3 linked regions of the Macaca fascicularis genome follow. The protein of the gene in region 1 interacts with the protein of each later gene in a pairwise test. Links are inferred from orthologs where the notes say so. Each region holds a gene or a part of one and is shown in the gene's direction. Other genes may lie near its edges. The genes, in order: PPP1CB, PPP1R3C and PPP1R16A.

What was found.
Region 2: the proteins of PPP1CB (region 1) and PPP1R3C interact in binary tests that used the Homo sapiens proteins (3 or more experiments, as listed by UniProt). The two-hybrid records come from large-scale screens. The link is inferred for Macaca fascicularis from reciprocal best matches to the Homo sapiens genes PPP1CB and PPP1R3C.
Region 3: the proteins of PPP1CB (region 1) and PPP1R16A interact in binary tests that used the Homo sapiens proteins (3 or more experiments, as listed by UniProt). The two-hybrid records come from large-scale screens. The link is inferred for Macaca fascicularis from reciprocal best matches to the Homo sapiens genes PPP1CB and PPP1R16A.

The regions. Positions count from the first base shown.
Region 1 is NC_088387.1:93,467,936-93,471,681, reverse strand, and holds the start of PPP1CB (serine/threonine-protein phosphatase PP1-beta catalytic subunit), read left to right. Parts: upstream 1-1,107; 5' UTR 1,108-1,148; exon of another isoform or gene 1,149-1,185; intron 1,186-1,194; exon of another isoform or gene 1,195-1,402; 5' UTR 1,403-1,489; coding exon 1,490-1,541; intron 1,542-3,746. UniProt on the Homo sapiens protein: Protein phosphatase that associates with over 200 regulatory proteins to form highly specific holoenzymes which dephosphorylate hundreds of biological targets.
Region 2 is NC_088383.1:100,436,069-100,439,814, reverse strand, and holds the start of PPP1R3C (protein phosphatase 1 regulatory subunit 3C), read left to right. Parts: upstream 1-1,399; 5' UTR 1,400-1,500; coding exon 1,501-1,514; intron 1,515-3,625; coding exon 3,626-3,746.
Region 3 is NC_088382.1:154,187,423-154,191,069, forward strand, and holds the start of PPP1R16A (protein phosphatase 1 regulatory subunit 16A), read left to right. Parts: upstream 1-759; 5' UTR 760-867; intron 868-2,604; 5' UTR 2,605-2,769; intron 2,770-3,647. UniProt on the Homo sapiens protein: Inhibits protein phosphatase 1 activity toward phosphorylase, myosin light chain and myosin substrates.

The DNA.
Region 1 (3,746 bases):
AATCCCATCTACAAAGCAGAGATAATAATAGTACCTACCTCACAGGGCTGTTATAAGGATTAAATGAGGTAACGCGGGTGTAACATTTAAAACAGTGGCACAGCACATAACAGGGATATGAACAAATGTTAGCTACTATTAGTGATATGTGAGTGGGGGAAGTACTGCCTTGGACTTGGGGCAATATCAGATCTGAGTTTCTGGAAAAACACCTGTGGAATAAGTAAGGGTTGGCCACCTCCTAAAACAGGACAAAAGATCTGGCTTGCCTAGATCCTTAGCGTGACTGCCTCTCCTCCTGCCTTTCTAGAAGCAGTATTACGTGATGGAAATATTTGGTGGGTGCTGTGGGCACAAAGATAAGTTAGTGTGTTTTTATCCCCTAGGAGCTGAGTCGAGAGTGGGAGAAAAATGCATAAATAATTACCAGGTAGGATGATTAAGCAATATACTGGAAGCAGCAACAGAAACACACTGTGGAAAAAAAGATACCCACGGCGTGGATGGAGATACAAGATGTGTGAAAGCGCTAAACACAGGCAGCCATATGCACCCATGTAAAATTGTATTATTGCTGACTCCTACAGGGCCCACTTTAACTCTTCTTTCAAACAGAATCCCTGCGGAACTAATTTTGTAGAACCACTGGGGGTAAAGACCTTTATTTGCAATGTCGAACTCCAGCAGAGTTAACCCCTTCTTGCTTTTCACAAGCGCAAACCCGGGTTCCAAACGCTGCAGTTCGCGTTTCCCGGCTAGGAAGAAACACGAGGAACTGCTTGCAGATCTAAGGTATGAAGCCATGAAAAGGAAAGCGAGGCCAAAAGGGTGCAACCACCACGTCTGGAAAGCGCCAGTGAAGCAGAGGAGGAGGAAGGTGAGCCCTGCCCCAGCCCGCTCTGCGTAACCGGGGCTTCCTCCGAGCGGCAAAGCCGGGCACCTCCTTGGCGCCTGCGCCGCGGCGGCGAAACTCGGCGCCGTGGACGTAGAGAGAGAGGGCGACGCACCTGCGCGAAGACGGCGGCGGCAGAAGCCGCTCCAGTGCGGCTGCGCGGAGGCCCAGGCGTCGAGGGGAACCTCGGCGGGGAGCGCGCCGGGCGCCTGCGCGGAGAGCTGCGTGACGCGGTGGCGCGCAAGGGACGTGCGGAGTGAGTGGCGCTGCGGGTGGGGCCGTCGGCGGCGCTGGTGAGCTTTGCGGAGCTGGGCGGTGCCGAGGACGAGGAGGTGGCGGCCTTGGTCTGACGCGGCCCTGTTTGTGGGGGCCCCTCTTGTTTATTTATTTATTTTCCGTGGGTGCCTCCGAGTGTGCGCGCGCTCTCGCTACCCAGCGGGGAGGGGGTGGGGGGAGGGCCCGGGAAAAGGGGGAGTTGGAGCCGGGGTCGAAACGCCGCGTGACTTGTAGGTGAGAGAACGCCGAGCCGTCGCCGCAGCCTCCGCCGCCGAGAAGCCCTTGTTCCCGCTGCTGGGAAGGAGAGTCTGTGCCGACAAGATGGCGGACGGGGAGCTGAACGTGGACAGCCTCATCACCCGGCTGCTGGAGGGTGAGTGCGCGCCGGGCCGTGGGACGGAGGGAGGTCGGGCGCCGCCGCCGACCCCTGCGTCCACCTCCGCCGCCGAAACGCGAGGGGACCTCTTTCCCGCCCCGAGGCTGTCTCTGGGAGCGCGGCGCGGCAGACCAGCCGAGGAGGGGGCGAGGAGGCTGCTGGGCGCCGGGGAGCGGCCTCCGGGAGCGCGGTCAGGGGAAATCGGGGGAGAGGGGGCCGTCCCCGCGGACCCTTGGTGGCCAGGCCCGCCGGCCGGCAGCTGTGCGGAGCGGGTCTGCGGGAGACAGCCTTTCGGAAAGGCCGCCGGGCTCCGCGCGCCGTCGTGCTCGCCTCCGGTGACTCCTCCGAGGAGGGGGAGAGGATGCCTGCCACCGGGCTTTGTGTGTCCGTGGAATCAGTGTTTCTTCTCTCTTTGTGCATTGCCCTTGGCTGCCTCCGATTGTCGTTCCGCGAGTGAATTTTATGTATATATATAAAAACCTGTCCGTAACAGGAATGCTTCGTCTGCTCTGCATTTTTACACGATGCCATAGAATGGATTCTTCTTAGAGAGGATAAAATTAGCGGGAATTTATCTACCATTTGTTATTCGGCCTAAAAAAATTGTAAGACAAAATATTTGATCAGGTTGAAGATGCACGTAAGAAATGTGATGTATGTAGATGTTGGCTTTTGCGTTTGATTTGAGCAGAGCTTAATTTCTGCACAACTTAGTGAAGATCTATTTTTAAAGCCTGTCTTGTGTTCGAAAGGTATTTGCAAGTCTACGCAGCATTTGAACTTTCCGGGCCCTGGTGTTCTTATCGAATAGTTTTATGTTGGTGGGAAGGCAAGGGGGGGGAAAGCCAGGAGTTAAATGTATTGATTCATTGCAGGATATTATTCAAAGTTAAATGCCAAACAGTCCTTCTACCCTAAAATGTTCGTCATCACTAATTGTTTTGTGAGTGTGTAGAAAAGCCATTAATCCCTTTTAAACAATTTAGAGGCCTCTTTGTTAGCCGCCATCGAAGGATTGCATATGTACTGTTTGCTTTCAAATTACCTTAAGATAATTGTTTGCTACAGTAAAGCAACATGTACTTATATTTGGAAAATCATCAAAGAATATTTTAATGGGGGAGGGGTAACTCGTTTTTTTCAACGAATGTGTCGGTATCTAAAACCCAAGTTCTGTGTGTAGCCGTTCTGTAACTAAATACTGTATATTTGCTCCAGAAGTGAAAGCCATCCAGCAGTCTTAAGACTGAATAGGAAGCAAAAGTTTTACCAGGAACTCTTATTTACCTTTTCCTTTACTATCAAGTTATTCCTGGGAGGCCCCCTGGTGCCTGCAGTCAGTGTTCACTACCTAAGACTTTGTTTCAGATGTGAACGTCTTGCTGGGTATTTGAGAAATTTGCTTTGAAGAAAAATTGTATTTTGTAACTGTTCTATGAGAGAAATACAGTTAATTTAAAAATGTATATGTCTTGTTTACATTTGGGAAAGTAGAGGCCTACTCTCCCCCCCCCTCCCCCCACGGAGTCTCACTGTGTCTCCCAGGCTGGAGTGCAATGGCACGGTCTCGGCTCACTGCAACCTCCGCCTCCCGGGTTTGAGCGATTCTTCCGCCTCAGCCTCCCGAGTAGCTGGGATTACAGGCACTCCGCCATCATGCCCGGCTAATTTTTTTTTTGTATTTTTGTAGAGACGGAGGTTTCACCATCTTGGCCAGGCTGGTCTTGAACTCTTGACCTCGTGATCCACCCGCCTCAGCCTCCCAAAGTGCTGGGATTACCGGCGTGAGCCATCGCGCCGGACCCAATTTTATATATTTTAAACTTTGCTTGTAAATTTAAATATTTTAAAAATATGTTTGTATCTCAACTTTATATTTTATTTCATTTTCCATCTATTTTATAGGCATAAAACAGATTTATGTTTTAAAATGTTTGTATCCTTTTAAATTAGATGCACCTTTTTATGATTACAGGTACTTAAACTTCACGAGTGGGTTGTGCAAGGTTACTGGAAAAGACATTGGGGGAAAAATAGTCTAAGTGATTCAATTTGTTTTTGTGAATTCAAATTAAGTATTTGGTTTTGTACAATCTTTTTTCCTTTTTGGGGGGCGGGGGTAAGAATTGTAGTCCAGACACATTTCTCTCAATTTAGCAAGCGTTAACATGTTGACCTCCTCCTTGCCAGGCACCAGCAATC
Region 2 (3,746 bases), on another chromosome or scaffold:
GATTCTCCTGCCTCAGCCTCCAGAGTAGCTGAGAGTACAGGCGTGCACCAACGCCCCCAGCTAATTTTTGTATTTTTAGTAGAGACAAGGTTTCACCACGTTGGCCAGGCTGGTCTTGAACTCCTGGCCTCAAGTGATCCACTGGGCAGGTTTCCCGACCACTCAGTGTCTCCGTTTTCTTTTCTCTAAAATGGGATTAATAACTGGACATATCACATAGGGCTCTTGTGAGGATTGAACTGATAGCACACAGTGTTTGGCAGAGTAAAGGCTCAACAAGCAGCAGTTATTCTCAATATTTTAGCTCAGGCACCAGGTGCCTTGAGGTGATAGAGTAAAAACTCTAGCTGAGAGATCAAGTAGAAACTTAGGAAGTAGCCCGGGTTGAACACAGGAGCTGGGCATCGTGCTGAGTCTGTTCATTGGCACCATCTTACTTCATCCTCAGAACGTTACTATCTCCGTTTTACATATGAGGAAACTGAGGTTAGAACTTGCCTAGATTCGTGTAGCTAGTAAGTGTCAATTCAAAGACCTTCCAGCTAGTTTTGGTTGAGCCAAAGGGGCTAGAAGACCTGCCATTAGTTAGATTTTCATTTCAAAAATAAAACCTCAGCATGAAGTGCCTTTCCCAGTGATACTCAGCGTGATTTTTTTTCTTCTTTCACACATACGGCTGTATGTGTGAAAAGGGTCATTTCTCTTCCGGCTTTAGTGTTCCCCGCAGGGGAGAAAATTGAAGAATAGACAGAAATACAAAGTATCTTTTAATTAAATGCCACCTCGCTGTTTTATGGGGCTCGTATGCTTTCCTAACATTTGTTAGATAAGTTGGTAATTCCCGGCAGCTGTCTACTGTGTGGTGCATCTGTGAACCCATAACTAACAGAAAAGCATGAAGCCAGTTTGGGATCGCGCAGGCTAAGATGAGGGAGAAATGCGGATACACCGGGCAATGAACAACATAAACATTTCAAATGCGATACACATTCGGATTGAGCCACATCTGTGTGGAGATTCAACTGCACTGACCCACAAAGCTATTCCCAAGTAACAGCCGCCCCAAGCCTGAGGCACTGGCGCCCCGCCTGGGCGAGGCTGGCTGCGCTCTCTCTTGGCCGGCGCCCGTTGCATGCGGTACGTGCCTGCCCGGCCCCTCGCCCAGGGTTCCCGTTACGCGGCTGCGTCCAGCTGGCCGCGGAGTCCCAGAACCTCCCCGGGATGCCCAGCTCGCGCTCTGCACGTCCGGCCCCGGGGCGATCATATTCCCGGGGCGAGGGCTCTCGCCCCATCTGGGTGCTGGTTGGTCGCGCCATGGGGCCCGAGGCCCGGCGATTGGTCCCAGGAATCGGGTCACGTGCTTCGGAGCAGATAAGCGGCCTCTAGGCGCCAGGCCCTCAATCTCTCCCAGCGACCGCCGCGGGGGAAGGCAGGGAGCTGTGGTTCGAATTTGTGCAGGCAGTGGGTGCTGGCTTTCACGGTCCGCCGCCTGTCTGCCTAATGAGCTGCACCAGGTAGGTTCGCTGCACCTCTGCGCGGTAGGAACACAGGGGAACGCACAGCTGTGGGGAAGTTGGGGGGGCGTTTCAGTTCTGTCATGAGGATAAGGGAACTGACTGCTTAGTTGAATCTGGCAACCGAGAGGGCTTGGAGGTGTAGAAATTTGACTCTATTTCTTAAGCAGAGCCTATTTTAGCAATCAGCATCTTAAAGCAGAAGTTATCTTAACGTGAATCAGCTTGAGTTCTGATTTTCTCATGGATGCGGCTGTTCTTTTGGTCCTGCACAAATGTCGCAAGGACTCAGGCAGCTGAAGTGGTGAGAACAGCACTCTGACATTGCTGGTTAGGTGGTTTAGCTTGGAGGAAAAAAATTACAGGACGACGTTTGCATTCATTCGTCCTTCTTATCACAGTTTGCCATAGCACAATCTCAAGAGTTTGAGCAAACAATTACTTTTAACTCTTGTCCAGGACTTAAAGTTCCAAGGAAATCACCCAAAGTAAAACTGTCTTTCTATAAATGCAAAAAGTAAAAATAAAATAAAATAAAAAAACTGCCATAAAACTACTTTAAATAGCTTCTCCAGACATAGCTTAGCAGAAGACTTCTCTAAAAATCCTGCCTATTAACTATTATTAGACCCACAAATATAGCTTTAGCTTTCATTTGTTTGTTCTAAGTTTGCAGGTCTCCCAGAAAAACCCCAGAGCTAATACAGTAAATTCTGCGAGTGTTATTACCCATTTTTGTGATAATGACCACTTGGATACATATTTAGAGCTGCTGTGAGGAGAGTTACTAAAGCCAGACTGAGAAATGTCGTGTACAGTATACACACACCTCTTACTTGTAAGGCTAAGATAGGGAAAAAAATCCTAATACCATAAGCTTGGAAATATATAATGAGGGCTAAAGGCCAGAGAAAAGTCTTCTTTATGGATGCTTCTTGGTTTAATATTGCTGAGCATAGTCATGTTTAAAACTTTAAATAGCTTTATTGTCTTTCTACTTATAAATGTCTATTAGAAAATGCCAAAAAAGGAACAAAAATGAAAATAGATAATCTATAGTCCTATCACCCAGAGATAATAATTATTACATTATTAGGAAAGGTGTATTTCTTACAGAGTTTTTCAATATTTATAAGCTTGCATACATATAATGTATATTTTAAAACACGCCAACTTTCAGGTAATCAGGTTTTCCACTTAAATGTGGACTTGTCATGGGCATCTCTTTAGATGAATTATCAGTTACACAGTTTGTAAGTACATATGAATTATTGACTTGTATTTCAGTGGTTATTTGTGAAAAATGAGGAAAAGCATGACAATCAAAGTACAAAGAGAATTCTTTGACTTCTTCTCTAGCCTTCTCACTCTCAAAACTGTTGCATGTTATTTTTGTTTTTTTTTGTTTTTCAAGTGAATTACCTTACCAGAGAAGTGTCAATCAATTTAGCAGCAAAATAAGCCAAAGTAGCCAGAGGGAGCAGAGGGTCTGGAACTGTGGCTTCTGAACCTCTCTGGTCATTAGAATCACCTGGGAAGCTTTAAGAGCATATCCATCCCTTGGCCCTAGCCCCAGAAGTTCTGCCTCAGTGGTTCTGAGTCCCAGGAATTGGAAAGAAAGAAAAAAGAAGAAAGAGAGAGAGAGAACGAGAGGAAGAGAAAAGAAAGGAAGGAAGGAAAGGAAGAAAGGAAGGAAAGGAAGCAGGGAAGGAGGGAAGAAAAGAAAGAAAGAAAATGAATTCCCCAGGCATAGTGACCAGACAGGTTTGAGGACCACTGGTCCAGAACAGAGCACACAGTTCTCAAGGCTGCCTGGGAGATAATCAAATCGAACCCTTTTATTTCTCAGATGGGGAGACTGAGACCCCCATCACCCTCTAAGTGTTTTAAGCAGTTAACACTTAGCCTTTAGCCAGCCAAGGGTAGAGGTAGACATAGAAAGAAGATCTGATCAGTTAATACTGTTCTCTTTTACTATATATGATAGCACCTGCCTGATATCTACTGCACTGGCTAAAATTCAGTCAGCACAAAAATAGTACATATGTATTTGGCACTGGGAAAGAGCACTTCCGATCCAGGTGATAATCCCTCTTCCCTTTGCATTCCAGAATGATCCAGGTTTTAGATCCACGTCCTTTGACAAGTTCGGTCATGCCCGTGGATGTGGCCATGAGGCTTTGCTTGGCTCATTCACCACCTGTGAAGAGTTTCCTGGGCCCTTACGATGAC
Region 3 (3,647 bases), on another chromosome or scaffold:
TGTTTGTTTGTTTTTTGAGACGGAGTTTCGCTCTGTCGCCCAGGCTGGAGTGCTGTGGCACAATCTTGGCTCACTGCAAGCTCCGCCTCCCGGGTTCACGCCATTCTCCTACCTCAGCCTCCCGAGTAGCTGGGACTACAGGCGCCCACCACCACGCCCGGCTAATTTTTTTTTTGTAGTTTTGGTAGAGACGGGGTTTCACCGTGTTAGCCAGGATGGTCTCAATTTCCGACCTCGTGATCCGCCCGCCTGGGCCTCCCAAAGGACTGGGATTACAGGCGTGAGCCACCGCGCCCGGCCTCCCATAAGTTTTAAGGCACCCCCCTTTCCACTGGCACCTCCTTGGTGGGGCGCTGGAGGCTCCCCAAGTTCTGACCGCTCATCTCCGACGTCCCGGGCCCGACACCACCCCCAAAGCTGCCACTCATTCCGCTGGCGCCCGTCCCATTGTCTACGATGACTCGGTTTTGTCCAGCATAAATCAATGACCACCGTCCCGGGAGCCCTGGAGTACTTTGAGCCCTTCGCGTCCCACCCGGGCCCCGAGGAGGTCCCAGCCGCGGAGGACTCGCCCGGCCGCCCGCAGCTGTCCCAGTTGGCACCCGCCCCCCGACCGTCCCTCCCAGGCCCCGCCCCCGACCGTCCCTCCCCAGGCTCCGCCCCCGACCGTCCCGCCCCAGGCTCCGCCCCCGGCTCCCACGGGGCACCGCGGCTTCCGGCTGTGGGTAGCGCGGGCCGGAAGTGTAGCGTTGCCATGGCGAGAGCCGGGCGCGGGGCCCGCCCCCGCAGCGCCTCGGGGAGCGCGGGGCCCACCGACCCGCGGAAGCCAGCGGACCCACTTACGCGGCGGCCGGCGCGGGACATGAGGTGAGGCGCGGACTCCCGGGTGCTGCAGCAGGAGCGGAGCGAAGGAGAGGGGCCCCGGCCAGGGACAGCCGTGGCGGGCCCGGGAAGGAGGGGCACTGGGTCGACACCGGGAGAGGAGGCCGGGCCGTAGAAAGATGAGGCTGAGGGGAGGGAGGAGGCCGGGGGGGGGCGGGAGGAGGAAGAGACCGAGGGGGGAGAGGAGGCTGGCGAGGGAGAAGGCTGGCGAGGGAGGAGGCCGGGGAGGGGCCCTCGGGAGACGCGGCTGCCGGCACGCGGGCGCCCAGGGCACAGGTCCCGCCGGGCCGCCTTGGGCGTTGCTGGCTGAGGCCCAGGGCAGCAGGTGCCAAGGGTCAGGAAAGGCAGGGAGCCGAAGGCTGCCGGTGGGCGCTTCGCATTTTGTTCCAAGGCGAAGGTGTGTGGATTCTCCGCAGCCCGTCGGTCAGGTAGACAGCTCCGGAATTATCCTCATTTTCAGATGAGGAAATTAAGGCCGCAGAGAAGGGACTTACCCAAGCTTTGTGTGGGCTTTGGAGCTAGGCTGAAGGAGAAAGGGAAGTCTCTCTCTGGGGCAAGTTCCTTCAACTTTCAGGGATTCACATGACCTCACTTGTAGCGCGGGGCGCCTGGACCACCCCTCAGGAATTGGGGTCAGGGCAACAATTACTAAGCAAGCACCCCGCCCGGGAGGGAGTGTCCGGGACTGGTGTGGGCGCCTGTCTGTACCAGAGCAGAGGCCCCGGGCACGGTGGGATTCATTTCCATGGGTGCAGAGACGGGAGGGGTGTACGGAGTCATTCTAGGCTTATGAGAGCCAGAGCAAAGTTAGCCCTCCCCAAACCTCTGTGCCTTCCTTTTCTTCCTGGATTCCTACTTGGGGGTGGAGGTGGAGGCCGGGGTACCGCTGCCTTCTTCAAAGCGTGTCTAATACAGCAGTGAGCCCTCCTGGGCGTCTTGGTGCCCCTGTTGCTTCCTGGAAGGGTTGGGATTTCTCTGGGAGAAGAGTCTTGGCTGCAGTACCCTGGGGCCTCCTGAAGAGGCCTCTGGCTGCGCTGCCTGATTCAGGGACCCAGAGCCACGACTCGCCGAGAGGAGCTCCGGCGGCGTGCAGCTGGGTTGCCTGAGGGGCTGGAGGCTGCCTCGTGGACTTACACACATACTGGCTCCATGCTTGTCACTGTGGTGGACGCTCAGAGCTCTGCAGGGCCAGCTGCCTGTCCCTGCCCCAAGTCCTCCAGGCTCGGGTTGGGATGGGGGAGGCTTTAGGGCGTCCTTCCCCCTCCCGGTGCTCGAGCTGCATTTCCTCCCTGTTGGCTGGAGCCATCCCTCCTGTCTCTTGATTGGCCTGTCCTGGCCTCATCCCTCACCTGCTTGGGATGCACCTGGACTCCGCTTTGCCTGGAGGATTGCCTGGGGTGGCGCCTAGCAAGGGGGCTCCTCCTGTATGACTCCACTTTGGGGTCTGTGTAGGGATTCTTGAACCTCTGGTCTGAATGAACAGCTGATTGATACAGCTCTCCGCTGCCTGCGGCTTAGGAACCTCAGTCTCAGGTGACCCCACAGACCGTACCAGCACCACCAGCTCCACCCTGCTCTGCCTCGAGCGTGTCCTACCCTAGCACTTGTGCCACATCTACCCACTGGCCAAATGAGAACTAGGTGGCAGTTCCAGGCCCTTCTTTCATGCCGAGGCTCTCCCGGCACTGGTGCACGCACACCTAAGTGAGGCCTTTTCATCAGACTTGCTCAGCCAGGAGCTCGGAGCCTCGCATGTCACATCCTTTGCTGGGAGCCCTGTGCCGCAGGCTCAGTAGCTGTTCACCTGGTCAGCCCACCGCACTTACTGAGTGCTTCCTATGAGTCAGGAACCGGCCAAGTCCTGAGGATGCAGCAGGGAAACAAACAGTAAGTGGCATGTCAAGGATTAAAACAGGGTGATGAGATAAGAGAATGACAAGGTAACCACAGAAGATCTCTGAGGAGGTCGCACTTAAGATGTGATCCGAGTCCCAAGAAGGAGCATGCTGTCCTAAGATCTGGTGGAAGAACTTTCCAGACAGAAGGAGCAGCTGATGAAGGTGGGGGTGATGATGAAGCTGGTAACACCAAATAAATGTGCTAGACCAGGAGTTGGCCAGCTTTTACCATGAAGGGCTAGGTAGTAAACATTTTAGGCTTTGCTGACCATGTGGCTTTCTGGTTTTTTGTTTGTTTGAGATGGAGTCTTACTCTGTCGTCCAGACTGGAGTACGGTGGCATGATCTCCGCTCACTGCAACCTCTGCCTCCCGGGTTCAAATGATTCTCCTGCCTCAACCTCCCCAGTAGCTGGGATTGCAGGCACATGCCACCATGCCAGCTAATTTTTGTATCTTTTTTTTTTGAGACAGTCTTGCTCTGTCGCCAGGCTGCAGTGCAGTGGTGTGATCTCAGCTCACTGCAACCTCCGTCTCCCGGATTCAAGCGATTCTCCTGCCTCAGCCTCCCAAGTAGCTGGGACCTCAGGTGCATGCCACCATGGCCAGCTAATTTTTGTACTTTTAGTAGAGATGGAGTTTCACCACGTTGGCCAGAATGGTCTTGAACTCCTGACCTCATTATCCTCCTGCCTCGGCCTCCCGAAGTGTGGGGATTACAGGCGTGAGCCACCACGCCCAGCCCATGCATTGATTTTTTACATCAAACTTTATTGAGGTGTGACTTACAGTAAGATGCACCTATTTTAATGGGTTTTGTGTGATGGGTTTGGTTTGATGTTTTTTTTTTTTTTGACAGAGTCTCGCT